Linked DNA regions of Oryzias latipes. The protein of the gene in region 5 interacts with the protein of the main gene of each other region in a pairwise test. Links are inferred from orthologs where the notes say so. Each region holds a gene or a part of one and is shown on either strand. Other genes may lie near its edges. The genes, in order: vars2, socs7, trim23, tbc1d22b, sorbs3, cpne2 and eif3h.

The links.
Region 1: the proteins of sorbs3 (region 5) and vars2 interact in binary tests that used the Homo sapiens proteins (3 or more experiments, as listed by UniProt). The two-hybrid records come from large-scale screens. The link is inferred for Oryzias latipes from reciprocal best matches to the Homo sapiens genes SORBS3 and VARS2.
Region 2: the proteins of sorbs3 (region 5) and socs7 interact in binary tests that used the Homo sapiens proteins (3 or more experiments, as listed by UniProt). The link is inferred for Oryzias latipes from reciprocal best matches to the Homo sapiens genes SORBS3 and SOCS7.
Region 3: the proteins of sorbs3 (region 5) and trim23 interact in binary tests that used the Homo sapiens proteins (3 or more experiments, as listed by UniProt). The two-hybrid records come from large-scale screens. The link is inferred for Oryzias latipes from reciprocal best matches to the Homo sapiens genes SORBS3 and TRIM23.
Region 4: the proteins of sorbs3 (region 5) and tbc1d22b interact in binary tests that used the Homo sapiens proteins (3 or more experiments, as listed by UniProt). The link is inferred for Oryzias latipes from reciprocal best matches to the Homo sapiens genes SORBS3 and TBC1D22B.
Region 6: the proteins of sorbs3 (region 5) and cpne2 interact in binary tests that used the Homo sapiens proteins (3 or more experiments, as listed by UniProt). The two-hybrid records come from large-scale screens. The link is inferred for Oryzias latipes from reciprocal best matches to the Homo sapiens genes SORBS3 and CPNE2.
Region 7: the proteins of sorbs3 (region 5) and eif3h interact in binary tests that used the Homo sapiens proteins (3 or more experiments, as listed by UniProt). The two-hybrid records come from large-scale screens. The link is inferred for Oryzias latipes from reciprocal best matches to the Homo sapiens genes SORBS3 and EIF3H.

The regions. Positions count from the first base shown.
Region 1 is NC_019869.2:21,527,952-21,531,451, reverse strand, and holds part of vars2 (valine--tRNA ligase, mitochondrial), read right to left. Parts: intron 2,231-3,500; coding exon 2,133-2,230; intron 2,053-2,132; coding exon 1,971-2,052; intron 1,810-1,970; coding exon 1,690-1,809; intron 1,459-1,689; coding exon 1,350-1,458; intron 1,277-1,349; coding exon 1,188-1,276; intron 1-1,187. UniProt on the Homo sapiens protein: Catalyzes the attachment of valine to tRNA(Val) in a two-step reaction: valine is first activated by ATP to form Val-AMP and then transferred to the acceptor end of tRNA(Val).
Region 2 is NC_019859.2:1,854,352-1,857,851, forward strand, and holds part of socs7 (suppressor of cytokine signaling 7), read right to left. Parts: intron 2,380-3,500; coding exon 2,275-2,379; intron 1,398-2,274; coding exon 1,263-1,397; intron 1,137-1,262; coding exon 991-1,136; intron 1-990. UniProt on the Homo sapiens protein: Substrate-recognition component of a cullin-5-RING E3 ubiquitin-protein ligase complex (ECS complex, also named CRL5 complex), which mediates the ubiquitination and subsequent proteasomal degradation of target proteins, such as DAB1 and IRS1.
Region 3 is NC_019870.2:3,058,623-3,062,866, forward strand, and holds the start of trim23 (E3 ubiquitin-protein ligase TRIM23), read right to left. Parts: upstream 2,801-4,244; 5' UTR 2,749-2,800; coding exon 2,656-2,748; intron 2,545-2,655; exon of another isoform or gene 2,520-2,544; intron 2,217-2,519; coding exon 2,054-2,216; intron 1,737-2,053; coding exon 1,615-1,736; intron 1,536-1,614; coding exon 1,257-1,535; intron 1,185-1,256; coding exon 1,002-1,184; intron 908-1,001; coding exon 692-907; intron 1-691.
Region 4 is NC_019865.2:4,879,952-4,883,451, reverse strand, and holds part of tbc1d22b (TBC1 domain family member 22B), read left to right. Parts: intron 1-1,313; coding exon 1,314-1,428; intron 1,429-1,833; coding exon 1,834-1,940; intron 1,941-2,010; coding exon 2,011-2,086; intron 2,087-2,177; coding exon 2,178-2,305; intron 2,306-3,500. UniProt on the Homo sapiens protein: May act as a GTPase-activating protein for Rab family protein(s).
Region 5 is NC_019867.2:17,343,990-17,348,125, forward strand, and holds the start of sorbs3 (vinexin), read right to left. Parts: upstream 2,801-4,136; 5' UTR 2,679-2,800; intron 1-2,678. UniProt on the Homo sapiens protein: Vinexin alpha isoform promotes up-regulation of actin stress fiber formation. Vinexin beta isoform plays a role in cell spreading and enhances the activation of JNK/SAPK in response to EGF stimulation by using its third SH3 domain.
Region 6 is NC_019864.2:24,986,726-24,990,225, reverse strand, and holds part of cpne2 (copine-2), read right to left. Parts: intron 2,823-3,500; coding exon 2,689-2,822; intron 1,261-2,688; coding exon 1,206-1,260; intron 899-1,205; coding exon 847-898; intron 1-846.
Region 7 is NC_019874.2:13,857,147-13,860,646, reverse strand, and holds part of eif3h (eukaryotic translation initiation factor 3 subunit H), read left to right. Parts: intron 1-1,665; coding exon 1,666-1,765; intron 1,766-3,500.

The DNA.
Region 1 (3,500 bases), on a different chromosome or scaffold from region 5:
TCCGATTGACTTTTAAACTATTTTAATATCATTCCTAGAGATATTAATTATGATTTTGCCGTTTTACAGCAAAATAAAAATAAAACTGTGTTGTTTTCCAGGGCATAGTTTTTGCAGAGCGGCAGAAGTTCATTAGAAATTCACCTCTGAGTTGTGGGCGGGACTGTTAACTCAGAGCAACCCTGTCCCCCTTGCCCTGTCTCTTGGTGAGAGCGTGGAGCAGCAAGCTTGTAACTCACCCAGTGTATGATCTATGTCACAAATAAAATCTTTTTCCAACAATATTTTTTCCATCTGCTCCTGATTCACAAAAATTTGAATAAAGAAATATTTCAAAATGAATTATTTTGCTTATTTGTTTTAAATATCTGTTCCCTATCATCAGAAAAATGCCCAAAAAAACATGTTAAAAAACACAAAGAGCAAGATTTTCATCTAAGTAGATCTTTAAAACAAGATTTCTTAAATCCGTTTTAGTACTACTGTTCGTGTATGATTTCAGTAAGGGTTAATGGCTGACGCAGTGTGTCCGACGCTTCAGCGAAGTGCGTTTAGTAAGGGTTAATGGCCAACGAATTATGGATTATCACTTTTTAACGCACGCTGCGGAAACTTGAACCGTCCGACGCTTCCGCGGCGTGTGTTAAAAAGTGATAATGCATATTTCGAAGGCTATTAACCCGCTTATACCATGGTCACTTACAAAAGAAATAAATAGTAACCAGTTTTTAGTCCTTAATTCTTTTTTTTTTCCAATTTGGATCGCTTTTCTCACAAAAAGCGGACAAGTAGTCTAATAGTCTGCGCCGCGCCGCACCGCACCACCACTGCAGTCAAGACTTGCCGATATAAAGTGATATATATATGCTGATCTTTCCGATTGGTTGAATAAAGCATCAGTTCAGAGAGAAAGTTCACCTCTTACCGCTTGTTTTTGTCCAAATGATGAAGCAAAAGGTTGTTTTAAAGAAGCCGGCACAGTGATACAAAACATTTAAGCTAGGTGACCGGAACTTCTTCTTTCACCGTGCGGTTATCCTGTGGTATATCACTTTTTAACGCACACCCAGCAGCCAATCAGAATTGAGTATTCACCCGGACCATGGTATAAAATGCATTATGGGTCAGAAAAGCTACTTGTGTTAAAGTCACCACCAGACTAGATCGACTGTAAAGCAAGCACTGGCCTGATATCGAGGATCGTCGGGGTGGACCGCTACGGAAACGTCTCCGAGCATCGTCTCAGGACGGGTGGTGGATACCACCACTTCTGCCTCTGAAACCCATGAACCAGGTCAGTTAGAAAGTGGAATCCAGCTGGACCACACAGCTGGTGTCCCTGATCTCACCGAGGCCCTCTACAGGATACGCAAAGGTAAACATGGCACCAAACTCTACCGGCTTTTCATAGCCGGGAACAAACATCAAGGTCTTCCCACACAGATCCTTCCAGTCGACCTGCAGTTAAAAAAATAAAAAAATAAAAAAATCACATTTCCACTTTGTAGTGCTGTGAAAAAGAAAATGGATAAAATCAACAAAGCACCCTCAGCTCACAAACATGATTGAAATGATAATAAATAAATAAAAAACTGAATTCTGAAGGAATTCTCTCCAGATGCTCTGTGAATCTGATGTGGCTCAATGCTCTTTGTTGGTCACATGGTCATGTTTCTAAGGAAGTCTCACCTCAATGTCGGAGATGGCAGATTGAAGAGCGCAGCTCCAGTTCACCAAACCCTCAGAGCGATAAATCAAACCTGAATCGCAGAGCCTGACGAAAGCTTCTGTCACAGTGCTGCAAAAACCCTGCAATCCAAACCAAATCACAACATCTCACTTCATTTGTATGCTCTACTGCTTGTAGCATAAGAGAATTCAGCTGGTGTCAGCTCAGCAGTGGTTGATGATCTTTCAGGCTGTATCTTCACATGCATCTAAACAGAAAATTGGGTTTAACTGGGACTCACTGGATCCATAGTGAATCTGGCTCTGCTCCAGTCCAGAGAGGCTCCAAGCCGTCTCAGCTGCTGGTAGATTTCATCTCCTTTCCTGGAAGCCATTCAGAGGAAACATGACAGGAATAGCATAACAAACAAACTCATCTGAGGTCAACAGGGAAGAGGACTTACTCATTCTTCCACTTCCACACCTCCTGCAGAAACTCATCTCTGGTGAAGTCCTGTCTGCGCTTCCCTTTCGTCCCGACAAGTCTTCTCTCCACCACTGCCTGGATATAAAAACAGGGGAAGAATTTGCACTTCACTCATTAGATGACGTGTGTTCCCCACTAGTATGCTTTAAATAGATTTATTCCGGAAAGCCTGCACAATAAATTGCAAATGTATTGTTATTGCAACAAAAAACTGTGCAATATGGCTTTTTTTTCTTCTTTTTCTCTTTACAGAGAAACTTCCTGATAATCTTGGTCTTCTTCCTGTTGTCAGCTTCAACATCTGATTAAGAAAAGGGTTATGAGATTATCAAATTAACAATAATATCTTTACATGCTAACTGGTTTAATTTATCCAGTATAAAACCAGTTAAATTCAATTCAGTTCTGTTTATTTAAAAAGTACCAATTAACATCTTAGACTGTTGCTTCACAACAGACAAAAAAACTCAAATAATGATAAATTCATTGCAATTGTTATTATCCAATTTATTCCAACAATTCCTAAATATTATACTCTAAATTGGACCTGATCATCTGACATAGCCCAAATTGTTAAAACTGTGACTTAAAATTACAGTAATCCTGTATAAGGGACTAATTGATTACATTAAAGTGACCAATCACCAACTGTGGAGAGGGAAAACTGCTCGTATAAATAGAATAATAATAAAACTTTCACCAGAACCAGACTCGGTCGGCCATGAGCAGCCTGAGTTTGGAAGAACAAGAAAGAAAAAAACACACAAAACCATCTGTTATAAAAGAGATGAGTTAGAAACTGAAGCCACGAAAGAACAGGAAGAAGACAGATGAAAACAAAGTCTTTGGAACATCTGTAACAAAAAGGAAGGGAAACATTAGCAACTACAGAAAAAAATTGAATACAAGGCAGAAAAAGGAAAAAAAAATCGGAACAGCTGTTATCTACGACAGTTTTAGGGCCACCAAAAGAAAAAAAAAAAGTATAATTACGAGATTTTAAGTTGTACATTTAAGAAAAAATTCGTAATTTTCCGAGATTAAAGTGGAAGTGAGCATACAGAGCAGTGCAGTGCAGAGCAGACCGACTAAACTCAATTGAACAGGTCAGCTGAAGGTTTATTGATAACGTTCCAAATGTTTGGAAGTTCATTTGTTTGATTTACGATTTATTAATGTTTTATTTATTGATGGGTGGTTTGCAGGATCCCTGCAGCCGATGAAGCCATCGGTGTCCCTGCAGCTGTCCACTTCCATCCTTTCTTCCTCCACCAAAGACACGATCTCTACGTTTGTGCGATGCTTCCGTCCAATGAGTTATAACTCAGTTATATCGCGATATAAC
Region 2 (3,500 bases), on a different chromosome or scaffold from region 5:
TAGTTCAGACTAACTTCCTGTTTTATTTTGAAGGGAAGCCGTGTGTCTGTACTCTTTCCTGTTTGTCAGACCTGGCTTCTGCTTTTGCACATTTCAGCAGTTTCTTATAGTTAGTTACGTCTTTTCGGTAGAGACTGATCTTAGTCTTGATTCTGGCTTTCTGTCAGTGATTATTGCTGCATGAAAATAATGTTCCTGTCAAAGTTAAGATAATATTCTGGATAAAAACACACAACCTATTGAAAAATACAGCATCCGACCACCCATCTATCCCATCATGTGAAAGTCTGATCACCATAGTTGCTATGGTGACCTTTTTATACAGGATTGGTGTTTTCCAAACTGATTTTTAAAAAGACAAAAGGCTTTGGTTTACTCTTTATTTGAGCTTAAGGAGTTATAGAGTTTTTCTCAAACAAAACTAAACAAAAAGTGTTATTTTATAGATTTAAACGATCCTGTTAGACTCTGTGTGAAGTGAAGCGGATCAACCCTAGATCTGTTTAAACAAAAGGCACAACTGGAGCGGATTGCTGACTTTGAGAAGCGACGTTTCTGGATCGCGATGTTCTGCTCTGACCGAACATCTGGATTTCTGGTTTTCACCCACGCCGTGTCCGCTCCTCTTCAATGCAACCAGAGCTTCACTCGCCTCGTTTCCAGGAACTTTGTTCAATTCTTACAGTTTGGTTATTGATCAGCCCCGAGGCGTTTGCTAAAAGCAAAAACATCCCTGACCGACTGCTTAGTCTCCTGACGCGGTTTGTTTTTGAGCTCAGACAGAAAAAAGAATCATCTGAGCTGACTGTCACCAAGAACTGTGATTGGCTGATGCCTTCACAAAATCAAGTCCAAGCAGCTCACAGACAGATCAGAACATTTTTGAATCTAAGTCTTTTTATTATAAAATTATAATCATTAGTAGACGGTCTGTTACGTGAAATCCTCCGACTAAAAACTACAACACATGACGAGCAGCAACTGTTTTACCTTTTCCAGCTCTCTTAGACTGGCAGTGAAGTTGCTGGCTTCAGACCGCCGCAGCGCACAGAGGACGGGAGGCGGAGCCTGTCTGGCGGGAAGTGGAGCGTCAGCAGGCGACGGGTTGGAATGAGGGAGGGCTCGCAGGAAAGCGTCTGATTCAGAGACGTAAAAAAGACACAAGAAAAGAGTTTCTAACCAACAAAAACATCACAATTTTAGAGTTTATCCCCCCCCCCAAAAAAATCCCCTCAACTCTGACACATCAGCCCACATCTTACCATTGAGACTGAGGCTGTGCTGGATGGTGGCGTGGGAGGGAGGAGGGGGAGGCGGGAGAGGCAAGGGGAGGGACTGCAGGGAGGCGCCCATGACGCTCACTAAGAAGGAGCCGGGCTGAGGCCCGGCTATGTCGTCTGTGAGGATGACAGGAGGGACGGAGGAGAGACGGGACAAAAGAAGGAAGGAGTCAGGAGAGGAGGATTTCTGAGCAGCATCAGCGTCAGACAGACAAACCGAACCCAAACCGTCCGGTTACGGGGGATCCAGACACTCACTTTCACCACAATTTGGCCAAATCTCTAATTTTGGGGTTTTGTTTTGTTTGGGTTGGATCTGTGTTTTACAAAATTACAACAAAAAGCTACAAAAATCCATTTTTAGACCGCAGATCACAAATAACAGTGAATACTAAGCCTAAATCATAAAACCTATTTTTTAAATTAACCACAACATGTGTTTGAAACTGTCAAAGTAAAAGTACTGGCATGCAGTCGAGATCCAACGATCCACTTTCCAGCGGCTTCAGAACCATAAAGACATTTATTTAACCTCTGACACACACGAACATGGCAGCTAAGACGGCAGAACAAAACGATGAATTCCTATTGTTGAAATATCAGTAAATATTCATCATGAGGCATCCACATCATGTGTGGGACTCACAGTGAGAAGGCGCCTTTAAAAGGTCAGAAAACAAACAGTTTCAGGAATTTAACATTACATATTCCTCTGCTGCCCTTAACCCAGGGCTCAACCCGTCACACTCTCATACATTTATTCAAACCAATTCTCTAAGAGAAGCTAGATTTTCTCTTTTTCATCTCTCTGTCGTTGAATCCTCCAGGTTTAAATGAAGTTTGGTCTCCACCAATCAGATTACAGCAGATTCCTAAAACGTGTCTGCGTCTGAACGGAGCAGAATGGTGAAGGAAACCGCTTCCTGTCGGGATGTTTGCGCTGGAATGACAAAAACGCGGACATGTACATTCAATCAGGACGGAAAAAAAGTACCCAACAGGCTGAGACTTCGGCGTGGAGGAGGGGGAGGAGTCGGAGGGTGTGGCGTGATCGTCCCTCGCCGAGAAATATCCACGTCCACCAAAGAAACGGTCTCACCTGAAGCCAGAAACAGATTTTTTTTTTGAATTGATGAAAAGCAAAACCACAACGTAAACTGCAGGGGAAAAATGGAAAAAAATCCTATTTTCTATGCAGAGATTTTCTGAAAGTGCACCAAGCAGGATGTTTATGGAGAATTACACCCAGCTAATCAGCACAAATGACTGCAATAAAGAAACACATCCAATCCCAAGTTAATTGAGACGCTGCAGGTTCTCTGTTTACCAAAACGGCGTTCAGCAGTCGGTTTCTGGCATCAGAGGAAGCCAAATCAGACGCTAAGAGCAAAACGCCACTAAAGAGAACCGTCCACCGACTGCAGCCGGTTTGGTTTCAGATCCAACCTGAACCGTTTCATACGTCCATCAAGTTCTTCTGCTGCTTATCTGTCATCTGTGTTTGAAAGACTGTGAAGCCCCACGGAGACGTCTCCAAGCTGAAATCTGCTGCATGAATAAAAAACGCGGCACGGCTTTCCATCTGCCGCCCACCTCTGACTTCTCCACCTCTGCCAGGAAAACAGCTGGGGCTTTTATTTTTCACTTTCAATCTGCTGTCCTGCCTTTGAGTCCAGCTGCCACTTCTCCTAAAGAAGCTCCGCAAAACTGGAAGAAGAAAAAAAAAGCTTCTGGATTTGTTTTTGTGTGGTTTTTTTAGTCAGGATTTAACCACAGCAGGGGGAATAAAATCACAAACTCCTGCAGCAGACAAACAATTATTTACACCTTTTTGAATGTGATCCCACACTGGAATATTATTTTAATGAACGCTAACAGAAAGGGCTTTGAACTTCATCACCAAAAAGTTTGGATCAAAAGCTGCAGACTCTCCGCATGGAGAGGATTTGAAGAAAAGAAACTGTGAGTCCACTCCTGAAGCCTGAGTCACATGCACGCATGCATGAGGGTCGTACGGCCACCTCAAGGTGGAAATGGAACATACCATCGTCACGCGTGTGGTATGACAAAGTGTGCATTGTCAGAAATGAACTCACAAGGGGGAAGCCTGAACCGCGGTTCAGGCTTCCCCCTTGTGAGTTCATTTCTGATAATGCACACTTTGAAGGCCATTAACCCGCCTATACCATGGTCACTTACAAAAGAAATACATTTTCAACC
Region 3 (4,244 bases), on a different chromosome or scaffold from region 5:
GTTATTGTGTTGTGTTGTGAGTTAATGTGTTGTGTTGTGAGTTAATGTGTTGTGTTGTGAGTTATTGTTTTGTGTTGTGAGTTAATGTGTTGTGAGTTAATGTGTTGTGTTATGAGTTAATGTGTTGTGAGTTATTGTGTTGTGTTGTGAGTTAATGTGTTGTGTTGTGAGTTAATGTGTTGTGTTGTGAGTTATTGTGTTGTGTTGTGAGTTAATGTGTTGTGTTGTGAGTTATTGTGTTGTGTTGTGAGTTAATGTGTTGTGAGTTAATGTGTTGTGTTATGAGTTAATGTGTTGAGTTATTGTGTTGTGTTGTGAGTTAATGTGTTGTGTTGTGAGTTAATGTGTTGTGTTGTGAGTTAATGTGTTGTGAGTTATTGTGTTGTGTTGTGAGTTAATGTGTTGTGTGTAAAGTTAATGTGTTGTGTTGTGACCCTTCTGGGCCACCGAAATGTAAAAATAAATGCAAAAAAAGTTTAATGCTAATTCACCCGAAGCTTGTAAGGCAGTTTAAAAAATAGCAAAACACGAAATGACATGTATTTAAAAAAATAAACATGTATTTATAGATAAAATGTACTTGAGCGTGTGTCAGAATTCCAAATTAAAGTTATCGAAATGATGCAAGAAAGAAACCTAAACCTGCCAGAAGGAAAACAGACTTGTGAGCTGGGATCTGAAGCACAGCTACCTGCTGAAGAGTCTTCTCGCAGTGCAGGCAGGCGGTGGAGACCTGCGACAGCAGGATGGTCATGTCCTCCTGCTGCTGCCTCAGCCAGATGAGCCTCTCCCGAACGTGGGCGTCCACCACACTCAGCGCCATCTCCTCCTGCCGACACAGAGTCTCGTGGAGGTCTGAGAAGTAAGCCCGGACGCAGGAGCGCGCGCTCTCTGCTGTGCCGGGAATCTGACGAGAAGGAAAACAAAAAAACAAAAAGAGGTCACGATAGGGGAAACTCTGGAGTCATGGTTTCACACTGATGGATGCGAGGTTTTCTCACATGCTCGGTGTGCGCCATGCCTACGCCATCCTCCACGATCTGTTCTCCTCCTTCTATCTGCTGCACGATGCCCACCAGCTTCCTGGAGTACTCGGACACTTCGTCTGTGAAGCTGCGGATGCAGTGGGCCATGTCCAGGATAGAAGCTCGGATCTGATTGGCCTCAGACTCAAGGAGAGCGTGCTAAAAGAGAAAAATGATACGCATTAGCATTTCAGATCAAGATCCTGACCCTGAAAGGACGCCTTCGCCTACCTTATGTCCCTGGTGCTTGCCATACTCCTTGCAGACGCAGCACATGAGAGGCCCGGACTGACACGCCTCCTCCAGGCACACAAACTCGATAGCATGGACCTGATGCTGGGGGCAGAGCATCTTCTCGTGAGGCTTATCGGCCAGCGGCACGCGGCGGTGTTTGGCCAGCGTGCGAGTGGAGTGGGTGAGCTGGGAGCACTCGCCACACAGGTGGGTGGCGCACACGGTGCAGTACACGGAGGCTGTGTGGCTCTCGTCTTCGTCACACCGTATTATACACTGGATTAAGGGGGGGAGGAATGAGTGCGAAGAGAAGAAACTACAGAGGCAAAGCACAAGTCCCCACCCACCCACTCACTTCTCCCATGCCCTTCAGGGCGTCCTCAGACATTCCTGACTGGTTGGTGGCTCCATTCTGGAGTCGCTCCAGGAGTTCGAGCAGCGCAAAGTTCTTCTTTAGGCCCCAAACCCCCGAATCTCCTGAGCAGACGTGAAGAAAGAAAACGTCTGTTTTAAGAAGAGGTGCCAACACAAAGCTCAACTGTTGCTCTACTGATGAAGATTGCATTCTCAGCGTCTCATGCACAACTCTGCATATGTTAGCTTTACGTGAGTTGCTAACTTATGGAGGCGGTGAGCCGCAGACACATCTGCACTCTGGATCCATTCTGTGGTTCAATGCTGAGGGTTAAGCAGGGGGTTTTTGAACCAAAGACCTTCCTGTCTCAGGGGCGGACACTCTACCGCTAGTCCACTGAGATGGGTGAGGCGCGGTAGCCATAGCAACCCGGACTCACCCAGCTCCGTGACCTGTCTGTCAAAGGGGCAGCGGACCGCCCTGCCGTGCAGGGGCAGCCGGGTCAGGCAGTCGTGGCACACCGTGTGACCGCAGAGCAGCAGGCGGGGGACCTTGTCGCCTTGGAGGGAGAAGACGTCCTCACAAACTCCGCACTCCAGCACCTGAAAAAGGGACGGACACCGAGTGGAAACATTTTTCCACGCTGCAGGAAACAGCTGCTGCTCGTTTCGCCACCAACGCATTAGACTTTTCAGCAAATAAACAATATAAAATGTAATCTGAAGCATTTTTTCTAAATTTATAGCTACTTTAACTTTAAGCTAGTGGCACCTAGCCTTCGCACCTCAAATGTGTCGCAAACACCAAACCAGCCTTTTAAATGCTCTAGAATTAAGCAGGTCTCATTCATTATAGTTAAAAACAGTGTTATAATGAATAAAGAGATGCACGCTGCACTATTTTACACGTTTAACATCCACAGGCTACGCCAACGCAGCGGCTTCTTCTTCTTCATCCTGCTAGCCTCCCTGCCCTCGACTCTGATGCTGCCCCGCCGCAGGAGTCCGACTCTAATCAGAAAATAAAAGTCACGATCAGAACCTTAACGGTGCTTCCGTTCGCCCCCCTCCCGTGTCGAAAGCAGGGCTCCATCGTCACCACGGTGCCCTGCTTGTTTATTCCCGCAGCCGCCATTCTTAGACGACAGTGCAGAGGACCGGGCCAGACCGAGACTACATTTCCCAGCTACTTCCGGTTTCGTCTACTGAGTTTTGTTGTGAACAGGCAGGTGTGAAATCAACTTCCGGTTCCAATTAACACTAATGCGTCCGTTGTTTTCCTTTTCTTAAATTGTAAAAATATTGGATAAAAATAGAAACAAAAAAATGAAATATTTAATAATAACCAATTAAACATAATTAATACATTAACATATTGTAGCGACCTGGGGGTTAGCCCCGCCTTCAGCCCCTAAGGCTCATGGGAAGTGGGGAGCTTAGGTGAAACCTTGAGTCAGAGGGCTGGAAGCTGAAGTTAGGCTCCGTGCTGTTTGGGCTGTATGGTGTGCTAGAATAAACAGGCTTGTTGCATAAAAACTAATATTGCCTCTCTCTACGTTTCTTCCAACTTGAGACTGTAATGTGTCGTACGGTGTATGGGGCACGGACAGCTATCCATTAGAACCTCTTCATGAGCAGTAGGCTTTCGCTACCCCACTAAAGTGACGGTCCGGCCGGATCGTTACAATATAATACATGACTTGTATGTTAATTACCATAAATTATACATGATTAATAATGAACGTTTTCGTTCTTCTAACATCGGATCAATTTCACCTGTATAATACAGCATGTAAAATGTGTATTAAGGATTTATTTATTTTATTAGTTTATTTGACAAGATAACCTTTTGCACATGAAAATGCATCTTTGCAAATTCACCAAAGTTAGCCAAAAGGTTATTTATCATCTGTCGTACCTGGACAGGTAAAACAGTTGTCTCCTAAAAAACAATTTTACCTCAACAACAAAAATACAAAATAAACATAAATGAGAATAAGAACTTTATAACATCCGTAAAAAGGATAAAAATTCAATTTAAAAATAAAAGTGTAATAGAAGGAATTTATAAGCACAAAAGAGATTAAGCTGATATAAGGAGGAGATATAAGGTGTACAAAAACAAATTAACAATGATTATGAGGATGTGTAAAATGGAATACTACTATTACTAGAGACTACATTACCCATCATTCTTCAAGACTAGCTTCTTATCATAACAATGTTTTTGGTGGTTTTTCTCTTCAAACTGAGAAAAGAACAAAATATGACAACAGGCTCCTTTTCAATAAGATTATTAACATTTGTGAATCTTAAAAACTATTTACATAAAGCATACTTAGCCTATTTTACACCTAAGTATTTATGTTACTTGTTTTTCTTTGCCACCGTTTTTGCTATAAGTCTGTATTATGTTATGTTTTTTATATAATTTAATTTTCACTAGTTTTTTTGTATTCTGCTAAAAAAAATTACAATAAAGTTGTTGAAAAAACAGTTCCACAGACTACTGTCTCTTGATGATGACGTGTTTTCGGCGCGACCTACTTCAACACAAAGCAGCTTCGTGTTTTCGTCTCCAAACCCCCGCATTTGTTTTTATACTAAAACGTCATGCTTCATGCAAACATT
Region 4 (3,500 bases), on a different chromosome or scaffold from region 5:
AAAACAGGAACTTCACCAAAAACATTTGACAAGTATTTTGGTTTATTCAAACTCTCAAACTTCAGGTGAGCAACACATTATGTTCTGATGGAGTCTGTGACTCTGCCCCTCCCACATTGCCATGACAAAAGCAAGACTTGCTGCAAAAGCTGTGGCCCCCTGACCTTCAGGGAGTCCAAGTTTTAGTTTTTTGTGTATTACACCCTTAAAGTTCTGTTTACCCAAACAGTGAAGCAGGTCACACATTTAGCAGAGCTAAAAAAACAACATTTGAACAATTTAAAGCAAAATCAATAAACGTTTGAGTAAATATGGAAGGCCTGTAATACAAACTTTTATTTCTCAGCAAAAAATGGTTCATCATTAGAATGGAACTTCTAAGAAAATGTAGAAAGCCAATTTCCAAAAATGATGATTTCTACTCATCAGAACCAAAACCTTCTAGTTTCTCTAAATTCAACTTTTTTGTGTGTTTTCTGTAAACGCATACAAAACTTAAGTGGTTTTATGAATTTAAATGTGTACATTTAACCCAATTAAAACAGAAACAAGGATAAAAACATCTAATAATAGAGGTCAAACTTCATATATTTCACAAAAAAGACATACAATTCCCAATAATATAATAAAAGAAGAAGCAAACAATTCTCCCTAAAAACTGGGGAGTTATAAATAAACTTTTCCAAAGAGAAGGATTTAAGATTTGTTTAAAAAGCCCTCACTTGAAAAATCAAAGTTTATCAATAAATATGTCTGATTTGAATGTATTGATGAAGACTCAATGACTCGCCAGGTTTCTAAAATTTTGATCTTATTTTTAGAAAACGTCCTAAATTAAACCGAAAGAATTTAACCAGCTGATTGAATTCCCTGAAATGGACCAGCCACCCTGTTCTCCAGGTCTCCCTGGCCTCCTTGCTGATGATGAACTGACTCGGATGTTTCCTCCTTGTGTCTGATCCAAGTTAACCAGGGGTGCAGGGAGAGCTGGAGAACAGGCAGGGAGTTAGAAGACACGAGTTCTAGAGCCTTGCAACTGAAATAAGGAAGCCTTTTGCTTGATATAAAATTTATTACACGAAATCATTACCTTATCAATGCATCTAATGTTCTTATTCGTCAAATAGTGTTGCTGTGTAGAGCTGAGGTTGTTTTTATTTATTTATTTATTTATTTATTATAAAAATGTTCATAACTTCCTGTTGTGCCGATTAATTTGTGTCTGTATTCTTATGACACAGTGAGTGTTTTTAGGCTGAAATTTCTTTTCATAAGCTGTAAATGTGATGATGTTTTTGGTTTTTTTTTCTCAGGTGTTTGAGCGAATTCTCTTCATTTGGGCCATCCGTCATCCAGCCAGCGGCTACGTTCAGGGCATAAATGACCTGGTCACGCCCTTTTTTGTCGTCTTCCTGTCTGAGTTTGTCAGTAAGTTCAGAGTTTGGTATTGAGGCCTAAAGACCCACTCCGATAAAAATTGTGTTTTTAACACGTTCTCAATGGAGGACAAATATTTGAAGAAAATTTAGCTCAAAATTACATTTATGAGTGTTTCTTTATTCAAGTCTTTGTGAATCAGGAGCGGACGAAAAAATGTTGTTATGGGTGACGGGAAAGGGGGGGGCGCCTCAGCCTCACAAATGCAAATTAATAATGAACTATTGTCTGAAAAAAAGTACTTTTTTATGGGCTAAAAACAGCATAATCATAATTAAAAGACCACTGGGAACGCTTTGAAAACAGACCAAAGGATGATCGGAGTGAGACTTTAAATGTTCCTAAAACCAAAACCTGTAAACTTGAGGTGAGTTCTGAGTTTGACTGATATTCCAGAGGAGCACGTGGAGAACTTTGACGTGGCGATGCTCCCTCTGGACACCCAGAGGAACATCGAGGCAGACAGTTTCTGGTGCATGAGCAAGCTGCTGGACGGCATACAGGTGCAGCTCCTCGTTCTCTGTGCAGTTCTCTGAAACGCCACCCTTTTCACTGAAGCAAGTTACTTTTTAGGACAACTACACCTTCGCCCAGCCAGGAATCCAGAATAAGGTCAAAGCTTTGGAGGAGCTGGTCAGCAGAATCGATGGTAGGTGGATGAATCTCCGTCTGACTGCAGGATGCACGCTGCACCCCAAAACAGAAATCGTATGAATGTAAAAACTGCTTTCCCTCCTCAGTGGATATTCACAATCATTTTAAGAAGTATGAGGTGGAGTACCTGCAGTTCGCTTTCCGGTGGATGAACAACCTCCTGATGAGGGAACTGCCACTCCGCTGCACCATCCGTCTATGGGACACCTACCAGGTACAGAGCTCATGAGCACGCAGATCAAGACCTGTTCAGGGTTCGGAGGATTGATTTCTTAGAAAGAATTTGTACTGCAAGAATATTAAAGAGTGAACCTGCACTTAGTTGTTGAAGACGTTTTTAGTTTAAAAAAACTTAGTCCAGATTAAGGTTTTAAAAACTTTTTCTGTCATGGGTCCATCCTTACGACTACGAGTATTAGGGCCACCTTCAAAATAAGAAGATAAATACATTTATGAGAATAAAGTTGTAAAATTATTTTTAAAAAATAATTTGTAATTTTAGGAGAATAAAGTCGTGAAATTACGAGAAAAAAGTCAAATATTTCGAATATCAACTTGTAAAATTATGAAGAAAAAAGTCCTAATTTTAAAAGAATAACTCGTAGAATTATGAGTAAGGGTGAATATTTTACTACAATAAAGTTATAATTTCGTAAGTTTAGAAGTTGAGAATGTACAAGATTAAAGTAAAAGATTTATGAGCCAGAAGGCTGTTTACCTTGAAAAATATAAACAAAAAGAATCAATATATATATTCAGTACATAGAGCGCTTTGTAAGCGGTTAGTTCAGCATTTGTCTTTTTGTGAGTCCACATTGTTTCATTATAAGGACATTGAAAAGACTTTGAGAGAAACTGGAACTCTTTAGAAGAAGATTCTTGACCCACTAGGAATGGATTTTCAGAGGGCGCGCCGTTTATATGGTCAGCAGTGTGGTTGCAGAGGTCCAAATGCATTATGGCACATAGATTCTTATGATGATGCACATATTTTTAACTTTTGATACTTGATCAAAGTTTGCTATGAAAACTTCTGAAATAGTGTTATGTCTATTTTACTGATATAATATTATGTTTTAATCATATCAATGACTTTTATAAGTAACATAATTTGCATATATTTTGGATGCTTCATTGCCATGTTGATTTCTAAAAGTTATTTTTTACAAAATAATTTAAGTAATTTTCGTTGTCATGTGCTTTATTGATACTTCAAGATTCTTAATCCTGTCTGATAAAAGCTAGGAACTGGATAATAATAAATCATGTTATAAAATGGTAACGGTAGAACAGAGGTGGGATTATATAAGTTCGCTTCCTTCCACTCCCTTTCAAGCGATATTTGTTAATATTTCTAATTATCCTTAGTTTGATTAGTTATTTTATGAATGTATAACTGATGGTTGTTT
Region 5 (4,136 bases):
AGAGTTCAGTACGTTCCAGCAGAAGCTTCAGGCCAGTAAATCCCAGCCTTTTTTCCCCTCAAGAGGACCCAAGCTCAGAGTCGAAGTTGATTATTCTCATCAACAACATAAAAGAAATTCAATTATTTTCTTCAATGTGTTCAATATACCGTCAAAGCATAAGAAAGTAGGTGCGGGTAAGAGAAAAAAAATTTCCCAAATCTTCCTGCCTGTCATCTTGCATTTTTAAAGCTGACTGTAGGCAGTTGGACCCACAGAAACGTGACAAAGGGAGTCTGAGCCAGCTGTGGAAATCTCCCTGACAGTCAGGGGGGTCTGGACAGTCCAGTCATTGAGCTCCTTTTCAGAATGAGGGAAGCAACACGGCTGAGTGACATGTTGATCTCACCTGGTGTACACATAGCCCCTGAACAGATATTTAGAAACATTGCCCTCAGTGTACTCTGTGTGTTCATGCTTGGATGCATGCATTATTCCACTTGCTTAGTCAGTAAACAGTGGTGTTGCAACACTGAACTTCCATAGATTAAAGGCTTCATTTTGCTGTTAGATTCTTTGTAAAGATACATACTTTCTGCAGCATTTAAAACAAGGTAAACACTGTGTACACCTGAGCAGTCAGACTGGTTACTCAACACACTTGCTAAACAGCCATACCTGAGTTTCTCTGCTCTCGATTGTGCTCCCTTTCTTTACGAGTCCCCTCACCTTCCCGCTGGGGCTGATAAAAACCTTCCCCCTGACTGAGTGGGGCATGGAATCACCTCTGTCGGCCCTGAAGTTTCCCTTTTCTGACTGCTGAAACTGGCCAGGTCGCCTCTCAGACACCCAACCCTCACACCGCCTGCCTCCGAGAAAGACTTCCCGGTTGACAAGTATTACCATGACAACCCCTTTCAACCTGCGTTTAAAAGGCACCCTGCACTTGGCTTGTCAGTTCAGGGGCACCTCCTTCAGTGAAACAGCCCCATTGTTGTGATAAGGAGATAATTCACAGCACAGGGTTAACCAAAGGGGAACACAAACAGTTCATCACCTCTGCTGCCCGAACACAGCCAGGCGACTCCATGATGTCTCCTCCTAATTATCTTTTCTGTGATTATTTTACATAAAGAATGTGTTTGCATATTGTGGACTGAGCCTTTTAACTACTGTTTTTCTTTCCTTCATACATACAAACATGTGGAGAAAATAATTTGACACGTGATAGATATCTTAGCAGTGCAAAGGACAATTATTCAAATTCAGATGAATACTTCAGTCAAATTCGTGTGTCGTTCTTGATCAAATCACAATGCAGGTAAACCCCCAAAAGGACAAAATGCATACATGCATTCTGCTTCCATGCAATTCCTGCCTAACAGCCTGCCACAGGTAGACTGAGCTACAAATTCCACAAATAGTGACGGCTCCAATTCTCTGCCGGCCTGAATGGTCTCACTCAAACTTTCAGTCAATCTGCATATTTGTTTTAACATCTTCATGCAAGCCACTTTCCTCCTGAAACTTAAGGCCTCTGCTCTGTTTAATAATTCAGCGGTCTGGCTATAAAACCTGGGGGCAGCAGCTCATTCACTGAGCCTGTACTGCTCTCTGGGTTGTTTTTGGCCAAACGGTGGAGCTCCCAAACTTAAAGCATTACCCAGGCTCCTTTCAGGAGCCTTAGTTCTTAATTAGTGCCATGCAGGAACAGACTTTTTCCTTCCTGGTTGCACTTCTGTCATTATATTATTCTGTTGTTAAATGAGGTAATCGTACAAACAACTGGGTAAAGCCACAACCAAACATCTTTCCTTCACCCAATCCAGACAAAAAACACCTATTTCTTGTAGAAAAATAAGCCAGAAAAGGAGGCAAGGTATGCTCTTTTCCTACGTGATTCCCCACTGTTGTGGAAAGTTTCCAGCAGATCTTTATTGCGCTGTAAAGACCAACCACTGCCCTTTCACATAATGCCAGTACACTGCAGAGCCTCATTAAAAGGATAACAGCCAAAGATTCCAGGGAGAGAATTTACCATGACATAAGTGGATTATGCAATGAAAAACTACATCATCTTGAAACCAAAGTTACAGGTTTTTCTGGGTTTTTATTAGCGTGATTTTTATATTTGACTTTTTCTGAAAGAAGAAAGACAACCGCACTAAAAAAGTCTAAAAATCCAGTTATCATCAGTTAACATGAGAGAGACAGTACAACTCTACAGGTTAAAGGTATCATCAGAAACATGGAGGCTTGAGATAAGAACTACTTGTCGTGAAGTGTCACATGTGGGAATGTCTCCTGAGAACAAACACAAAGTAATCTGGGTTATCCTGGCACTAAAACAGCTTATTTCGGTTCGGGACTTTAAATTTAACTATCGTATCTAGAAAAAAGACTTAAGTTTTCCAGAAAGTTAATCAGAATAAAATCTGACAGCTCAAAGTTTGGGGAGAACCATCACTGTTATCAGCTGTAAAAAAAAAAAAAGTACAATAATTTTGAAGTGATGAAAAAACCCCTGTAAATATCAAGTGTCTTCATTCATAAATGTTCCTCCGGCAAACTGAAACTCCTGTTTAAACAATCCCAAAGTTCTGAAAAATCTTTCTGCACTGTCAACTTTTACTTCCTCGTCACCCACGCTGCTCTCATCTCACAGTCAGAACAGGAGGCACAAGTAGTACAGTACTTACAGGCTGCGCAGTCAGATCTTCTCGGCACAAAAGAAGAGAGGAACTGAATCCAGAAGGAGGAGGGAACCACCACTTCTCCCCACTCGCTCCGTTCCCTCCCTTTTCAGTCTGAGGACAACAGGGTGGCTTTTATCTATAGTGAATGATTCAGCGTGGGCCTGAATCTTTCCCTGCCTGTCTGTAGGCGTGCTGGCATGTGTTTGTTTTGCGACCATTCACTTTAACGCTCATCAGGGAGACAGGGCTCCGTAATAGTTTCCATCCACAGCTGGAAATAATAGATTCCCATCCAGTCATGAGCTAAGCAGAACAGCTTGTCAGTGTTCTAGGTGCAAAAGTCGATTTTTCTTTTCAGAGAAGAAGCATGGGTAACTCATGTTGTGCAGCAGTTCAGTCTGTTTACTGTCTGCTGTTATCATCAGATGGGTCTGATACATTTGTTCCTCACACAAAAGGCAGTCTGGGCAGCTTTTTATGTGAACCAAGGGGTTAAGTCAACGCGCTTCACCTGTTTCTCACAGACATAAATGCAGACGCATACAGGCTGACTACCTCACACACATGCAAGAGAACATAAGGCTTCCAGAACTAAATCTACTTACCTTCCTAAAATCTGAAAAATACGACAGTTCAACCATAAGAAGTAGTGCCATGGATCTGATTCTAGAGCAGTGAAGCTGCAAGATTCTGACTGGATTTACATGTTTATTCCCACGGTTTCTTATCCCCAGAAACATATGTTTGGTAGATTCCTTCACTTTGTGATCAAAAGCAGTGCAGTTCTGCCATCCAAGATAAATATTTAACAGGTAGGCTGTGAGATCACAAACCAAAGGTCACACCTTCAGTCTTTTGTCTAGAGTCCATCCACATGTCAAGACAACAATCCAGAACTTCACCGTAGTGAGTCGGAAATGTTACATGCGTATATATAATATATACTATATATATATTAATATATAATATAATAATATAATTACAATATATATATAATATTAATGCATACTTGGAGTCAAAGATCACACAAGTGTAATTACAAATAAACAGTTGTATTTTTTTTCCCTTCAAATATAATTTTTTTAAATGGATGTCAAGGTATCTAAAGATTTATTTCTAAACTATCTAAAAAATAATATTGATACCTGCAACAAGCCTCGGTTTCACTGTCTTGAACTCAAAGAGTTTTAAGAAGTAAATCTCTATTTAGGGAGTTATTGGTTTTTCTCATAATAAATGGAAATATGCTGCCCCTCAGTGGTTATAAAGGGCACTGCTGGGTTTGTGCTTTTACATGTGAGCAGAACTGACAGATGTTCCCAGAGTTGAAGACTCATCTAAACCAAAACAAAACAAAAAGTTTAAAAAAAGAAGCATGAATCCAAATTCAAGTCAAATTAGTCCATTGTTTTCTAAAAAAAAACAAAAAATAATGTTGGACAATGTTTAACGAAAATAGAA
Region 6 (3,500 bases), on a different chromosome or scaffold from region 5:
CATCTTTGGATATGTACAGCATAGAAGGATACACCAGACCAATCCTTGAACATGGGGAAAAAGAAGGCTATATTCGTTGGCCACATTTGAAGAAGTCATTGAATTTGGGCAGCACTTGTCGCGGCGCTGTGATGTAAGCAGCCTATGAATACAGGCCAGGAAGAACGCAGCCCCTGAATTTGGACACAGCCATAAAGTGTTGCTTACAACTGAAGACCAGAAATAATAACGTCGTGCATTCACCCACAATCTAATAATTGGATAGCCACCAACTCATGATTTCAGTATTTATATCAGCATTTTTATTCAACAGTGTTTAATGGTGTATTTTGTGCCAGGAAATTCTTAACATATTCCCACCTTCATTTGGCTGAGTTTGCTTACACACCTGACAATCAAACTACCTAGAAAAAGCCAAGCGATTCTCACTGATGCTTGTTTGTGGTATTTCCTAAAACAAAGTCTGACTAAGAATAAAAAAAGCATGATGAGGGAAACTGAAACATCATTTCATTTCTACACCATAGTGACAAGACTTTTCCAACCATTTTTGCGGGTGTTTCTCTTAGATTTGTGCTGCAGGTTGGTTTGATTTTTCTTAAAATGACACAGTACTGTACTTTCACCAGTTTTATTGTTTTGCCTCCCACCTTTGATCTGGTAAACAACTCGCCTGCATTCATTCTATAGTTAACTGCATTTAATTTGCAGGAACACCAGAGTTCACCTGTTCACAGCAGACTCCAGGTTTAAGGGTGAAAGTGCTCCTGTGAAAAACCAAACACTTCTCCAAATGCTGCAGCAAAATCCCCAACAATGGCAGCTGCTTCTCAATAACCTTCTCACCTGAGCAGAAGGGGTTAGTGGGGTTAAAGTTGATGGCAAATTCATGTGAAACCTGCAGAAAGAAGAAACCTGAATCATAAAGAGGATTTTTCACCAAATTGTGAAATATTAACAGGAAAAACACGATTAAATCCTTTCCACACGTTCTCCCTCCCACCCCGAGTGTACTGTGTTTTTGTCCTTTGCATAGGCTCAGTGCCATGGCAACGCAGATGGGCTGGTAGTCACAAAATCATGTGAATATGCATGTGAATTCCTACAGTTTGTGCGTGCAGAATAAATATAACAGTTTACAAATGATTCATCATTGTGATCTGCCTTTGTGTTTGCCTCATGCACAAACATGGCTACACACATACCTTCCAGTCTGGAGGGAGCTGGGCACCAAATCCCAGAGCAGGAAACATTTTGTCACTGAGGATGAAACCATGACAACAGATTGAGAGCATTACTTTAATTTTTCTTGCCATGTGAAAGCAACCCGGTTACCTAGATTTCACAGAAACATTGCCAGTTTGAAGGGAAACAAGCAGAGGGCAGGTAAAAAAGTGATGCAGCAGGGAGAAACGGTCATCGAGTTTTTTTTAAGTCAGACATTCACCATTTGTCAGTGTTTTCAAGAAATACCCTTTTCATTTTGAAGACTGCTTCAAAGATGCTCTAGTATATATATATTTAAAAAGAACAAGACAGTAGCAAATAAAACATGCAGTGTGTGACAAATAAAAAAATACTTTGTTAGACGTCAAAGGAAACCTACATGCAAATAAATATTCATGATAAGACTGGAGATGGATTCACAAAAGCCTAACTAAGTCAGAAGATCATGAGCGGAGAATAATAGGAAGTACCACTTGATAAAAACTGTGTAAAATTCATTCCTCAATACTTAATTCTTTGAGGAAGGTGTCTCACTTGGGAAAAAATTAAAGATCAGTCAAACTGAACTGAATACCAACTCCAATCATCTTTTGATGTACTTTAATAGCATTCCCAGTGGTCTTTGAATTATGTTTAGATGTTTTTAGCCAAAATCAAAAAACCTGTGTTCTTTTCTAGGACATAATCTCTGCAGAGCGGCAGGAGTTCAGTAAACATTCATCTCTGAGTTGTGGGCGGGAGCATTGGCAACTCTTTCCCGTCACCCATTAAAGGGAGCTCTCTGTTTACACTTCCTCCCACTAGCTTACAGCCCCTCACAACCCTACACGTACGTTACTGGTGCAATATGGCGAGCAATGTCGGCGCTATCCAGCCGTACAGTTTTTAAACAAGATACGTGCTCAGACCAAAGATGTACATAGATCTAGTCGACTACAAGAGGATGCTTTGGAATGGAGTGGGGCAGGGAGCTTGTGGCCCACCCAGTCTATTTTTTACGTAACAAATACGATCTTTTTCAAACTGTATCTTTTTTTCTGCTCCTGATTCACAGCACTTTGAATAAAGGAATGCTCAGAAAGGCAATTTTGATTTTGATTTTTTTTTATATGTCCTCTATCATCAGAAAAAGGCCACAAGAACACGTTAAAACACCCAAAATGCAATTTTCACTGTAGTAGGTCTTTAAAAAAGCTTAAGCTGCTGATCTGTATTTGTTGCTTTTGTGTTTTATTTTAGCTTTTAACCCTTATGAAAGTCTACTCAAGAATTTTTTTTTTTAAATGGTCCAAAAAAAGAAAAATGTAAATTTGGAAACCAAAACATAGATTTTGTTAATTTCCTGCTGCATAAAAAAGGCTAATTGTCTATTTTCAAGTTTTGCACCAGCATGGTTGACAAAAACAGTAAAGTTTACTTTTTGAATTTACTTCCATGATAATAAAGTGGTTGTTTACTTACGTGTCATAGTCCTGAATGATCTGCCCAACAGCTAAAATAGCTGAGAGGTACTCATTGCTGCCTAGTGGGTTAATGTAGTGCAGAGAGGATGGCTCTCTGGGATTTCCATTTGAAGCAGTGAAGTCTATACCGACCTGCAGAAATCAGAAAGAAGTGGAATTATTTGTACAGTAACGTAGAAGAGATAAATAAACACTAAAATGACCACAAATGTTAGAGTTGAACGATTTACAGCAGGGATGACAATTGTTTTCACACAAGAGGGTGTGAGTTTTTCAATGGGTGAGACACTATATATCAAAACACTGTTGTCACTTACTGTTCTCGTTGGTTTCATAGTTATCGTACTTGACACCCTTTCTCCGCCTTCATCTAACCCTTTCCTCAGCATCCAACTCATTCCCATTATCCAGCCTCATGTCTCTACATCCATGAAACTTCTTTACACACAGAACCTCTATCTTGCTGCTCCTAACCTTCAATTCTTTTCTTTTTCAGAATAAACTCCCACCTCTAAATGTGCCTCAACATGCTCCCATACAGATCACAATGTCATCTGTAAACAACACGGTCAACTGAGATTCCTGTCTAATCTCATCCGTCAGCCTACCCGTCACCACAGAACTAGCATTCAATAGTTCCTGAAAGTTTCAAAGGATTTTTTTTTTTTACAATTTTTAAACTTTTAGTAATCCCTTTTCAAAAATATATTACAAACACATCATTGTCAATTTTGCACAAAAGTTGTAGTGACTGGTAAGTGATTGGCAATTTCCTTCCATCTTAAATCTCCTTTGATTTCTCCTATGTAT
Region 7 (3,500 bases), on a different chromosome or scaffold from region 5:
AATTGTCTACAGTTTAAAAGCAAAAAGGAAGACTTACCCAAGGATTGAACCAGATTACTTTAAAAGGTACTTATCCATAACGGGAAAAATAAATATTTTATTTAAAAGTAAGAAAAGGCTTCAAACATTGCAGCATTTCCATAACTGTTAGTATGAAGAAACTGCATCTCTTGTCTTTTCTGAAACTTTTCTTTCTCCAGATTGTACAAACTGATGATGGATCATTTTCAGGAACATAACTTTGATCTTCTCCTGCCAGCTCCTCTAAAAACCTTGTAGTCGGGTGGTTTTCTCATTCTAAACCAGGCCTCCTGTTAATGTCAATCAATAATTCAGCACTTAAAGGATCAAAGCACCCCAAAGGAATTTACATTATCTGTTTAAAGTCAAAGGGGAAGAAATACATTGATTTCTTCTTTGTTTTCTTTGTCATCGGCTCACCGGTCATTTCATGCCGATGAAAGGATCAATCATTCGGACGACTGGTGGGTAAATGGCTCCTGTGCAGTGAGCTTGGAAGCAAAGTGGGTAGTTAAGCTAACTGGTTAATTGCGTTCCCCGTAGCAATTGTTTCTACAGGGGAGGCAAACAGTTGAAGGTTATAGGTTAGAATAGACACACATCTTACTAGAGCTGCTAAGTCAGGAACATTGAGTGCATCTGATGGGGCTTTGTGCCTCATTAGTAAGAAGCTTTATAATAACAGTTTACCCCTGTTTGGAAATATTAAGTAGAAGTGAATATTGCATGGGTGTTGACCATTTGAACTTTCTGATACCTCTGTGTGCTGCTCCAGCAAAATACGCATTTACTTTTTTGCATTCATTTTTTGGGCTTTCTTGGTATTTTGCGTGTTGAATAAAATAAATACTTGTTGGAGGAAACAAAATATATACTAATTGCTTCCTTAGTACCACTAAAAAAGAAGAAATTGCATAAAAATCCCAGTCTAGTATATTCTGCATTTCTATGCAGAGCATGGTTTCTGTGGGCTTAGGAGAGCTGTCCTGATCAGGACTTTCTTCCCTCTTGGCGGCGATGAGCCGTGACTCTCGGCTAACTGTCAGTTTTGTTTGGGGCCAGCTAATCTGTAAGTAAATGACCAGGCAATCGGAAAGGGAATTGTTGGCACCAAAACTTCATCTGGGCTGTCAGTCCTTTGGATTCAAAAGATTTATTCGGAAGGCAACGGAAAACGTTGAAAGCTTTGGTGAAATCTTTTTAAATAAATACAATAAATCAGAACAAGTGGAATGTGCCACAATACAAGTTGGACCACAAAACATCTTATCTTATGTTTTTCTATCACTGATGTCGCCATGGGTTCTTATAGCTTAACTGTTAGCCCCCAAAATTTCTTAGTCATTTTTTTTGTTTAGGAATAAATTTAAGATTCATAGCAGAGGATGGCAAACAGTTGCTCTTAAGGCTCCACCATTAAATAAAAAATAAAAAAAAAACATTTTTTTTAAACAGGAAAATCGTGTCTGATATTTTCTGTTTGTTTAATCATTAGCATCTTTAGAACTCTCAGCCCATTTCTCTTTACCTCCCATGAGTGCTGTTAGAGCATGCAGGCATTATTATGTGAAGGAAAAAAAAACAAGGAAACAAGATTTGTTAGCTGCATAAAAGTAAACAATTCACTTTTTTTCTTGATTTCAGATCCCATCAAGACAGCCCAAGGCTCCCTGTCTCTCAAAGCCTACAGGCTTACCCCCAAACTCATGGAGATCTGCAAAGAGAAAGATTTTACACCAGAGGGGTGAGTGGTTTTTTACAAGAGTACACAAAAACACTCCTGCTGCTGCTCTTTGGATTAAGTGTAGCAACCATCAAATATTCCTTTCATCTATTTGTTTAAAACCATCGGCCCCTCATTGCCCATACTTGCAGTTAAATTTTCCCCTTTTCCCTGGTTTAATTCTGTTTATTTGGGGAATGCAAACACAGCCTGGTGCATCCCCAGGGGAGGCATTTAGTGGCAGTTGGAGATGGACGCTGATGATGATGATCATCATCATGATTTATCAGCTCACTCCTCCTTGCCCGTCAAATAAATGTTCCATGTTTACGCTTTTTGTGACCCCTAAGGCTTATCGTAATTGCTTTTAAATTGCAGCTAAAAACAAATGTAATGAGGGAACTATTTCCCATGCAGTTCATTGCGCCACTAGAGCACTAACTCACTCATGCAAAAAGCATATGTATAAGGATGCCACAAATGCTCGGGCTAATACAAGCATGTCAGTGGAACATGGAAGTCCCAGAAGCTTTGAGTTGCAGTCAATTCCAAGCAGCCTACTATTGGAAGTGTATTTGGTACTATTTAATTTCCACCCCTCTGTATTTTTTCACCCGTGTGAGTCCCTTTCCAGCCAGTCTGTTATTGACCCTTAGTGTTGGGCCTGGACTCAGGATTACTTTAGTTTCTGCAGCTTTTCATTAGTTCCTATGATTTATTATAGCTCCAATCTGCCACTTTCATTGTTCCCAACAAGCCTCAACTGAAATGGGACAGCCCAGGGCCAGAACGGGTAATATTAGTTCTATTATTACAAATTCAGCTTTATTCATTTTTATTTTTTTCTATTTACCAAAAATTCATACCCTTTTTTCTTTTCTTTTTATCCCCAAAAGAAAAAAAGGAACAGTTCTTCTTCAGCTTCAAGCATTTGATGTTGAAAGGTTGAACATACTGTGGTCCACATTGAGTGAGAAATGTAGATAAAAGTGCGCTGATTGGAAGCAGCCCCTTTTGAACTTTCCTCCAACTCCATGATTGCCGTTCAATAACTTCAAGGGGTTATTATTTTGGTAATGCATTTTATAGTTCATTAAATAGATATTTTTCCCCAAATTCTGACAAACACTACTCATTTTATTGATTTCTCCCGATGTTCTGCTATAATTCATGCTCACTTGTCTTCTCTACTCAACGCCCGAGGCAGCTTTGCCAGCCTTTGTGCCTCAATCTTATCTTAAAGTTTGCCTGAGGGAATCTTGCACTCAGAATCCTTAACATGATCAAATGATACACTTCCTGTCCATATATCAAACAAACACGCATTATGTAAACATCTTTGTTGCTGGAACAATGCACATATTAGAGTAACTCACTGAATATTGATCCTGGGGATGAGATTTTAATACTTTACCTCTATTTTGTAGAACATGCTGCAAAAAAATCAACAAATTGCAAACTCAACAAAAACAATCCATGTGTATTGTAGGTCCTCATCATTGTTAGTAAAATTCACTCTACAGTGAAAAATAAAATCAGTTTATAGAGGGTTAGATATAAGATAAAACCTTAACTAAGGATCCTTTCCTGCTAAATGTCCTTGAAAACGTATGCAACCCCCCATTCTTAAGTATACTCTGTTATGAAAAGTGATGTCTGTTTTTTTAGAAAGACCAACTGATGACAACTGTGTTTTTGGTGTTCTTGTGGTATTTTTGTCATGATGGAGGACATCTATAAAGAAAATTAAAACTGC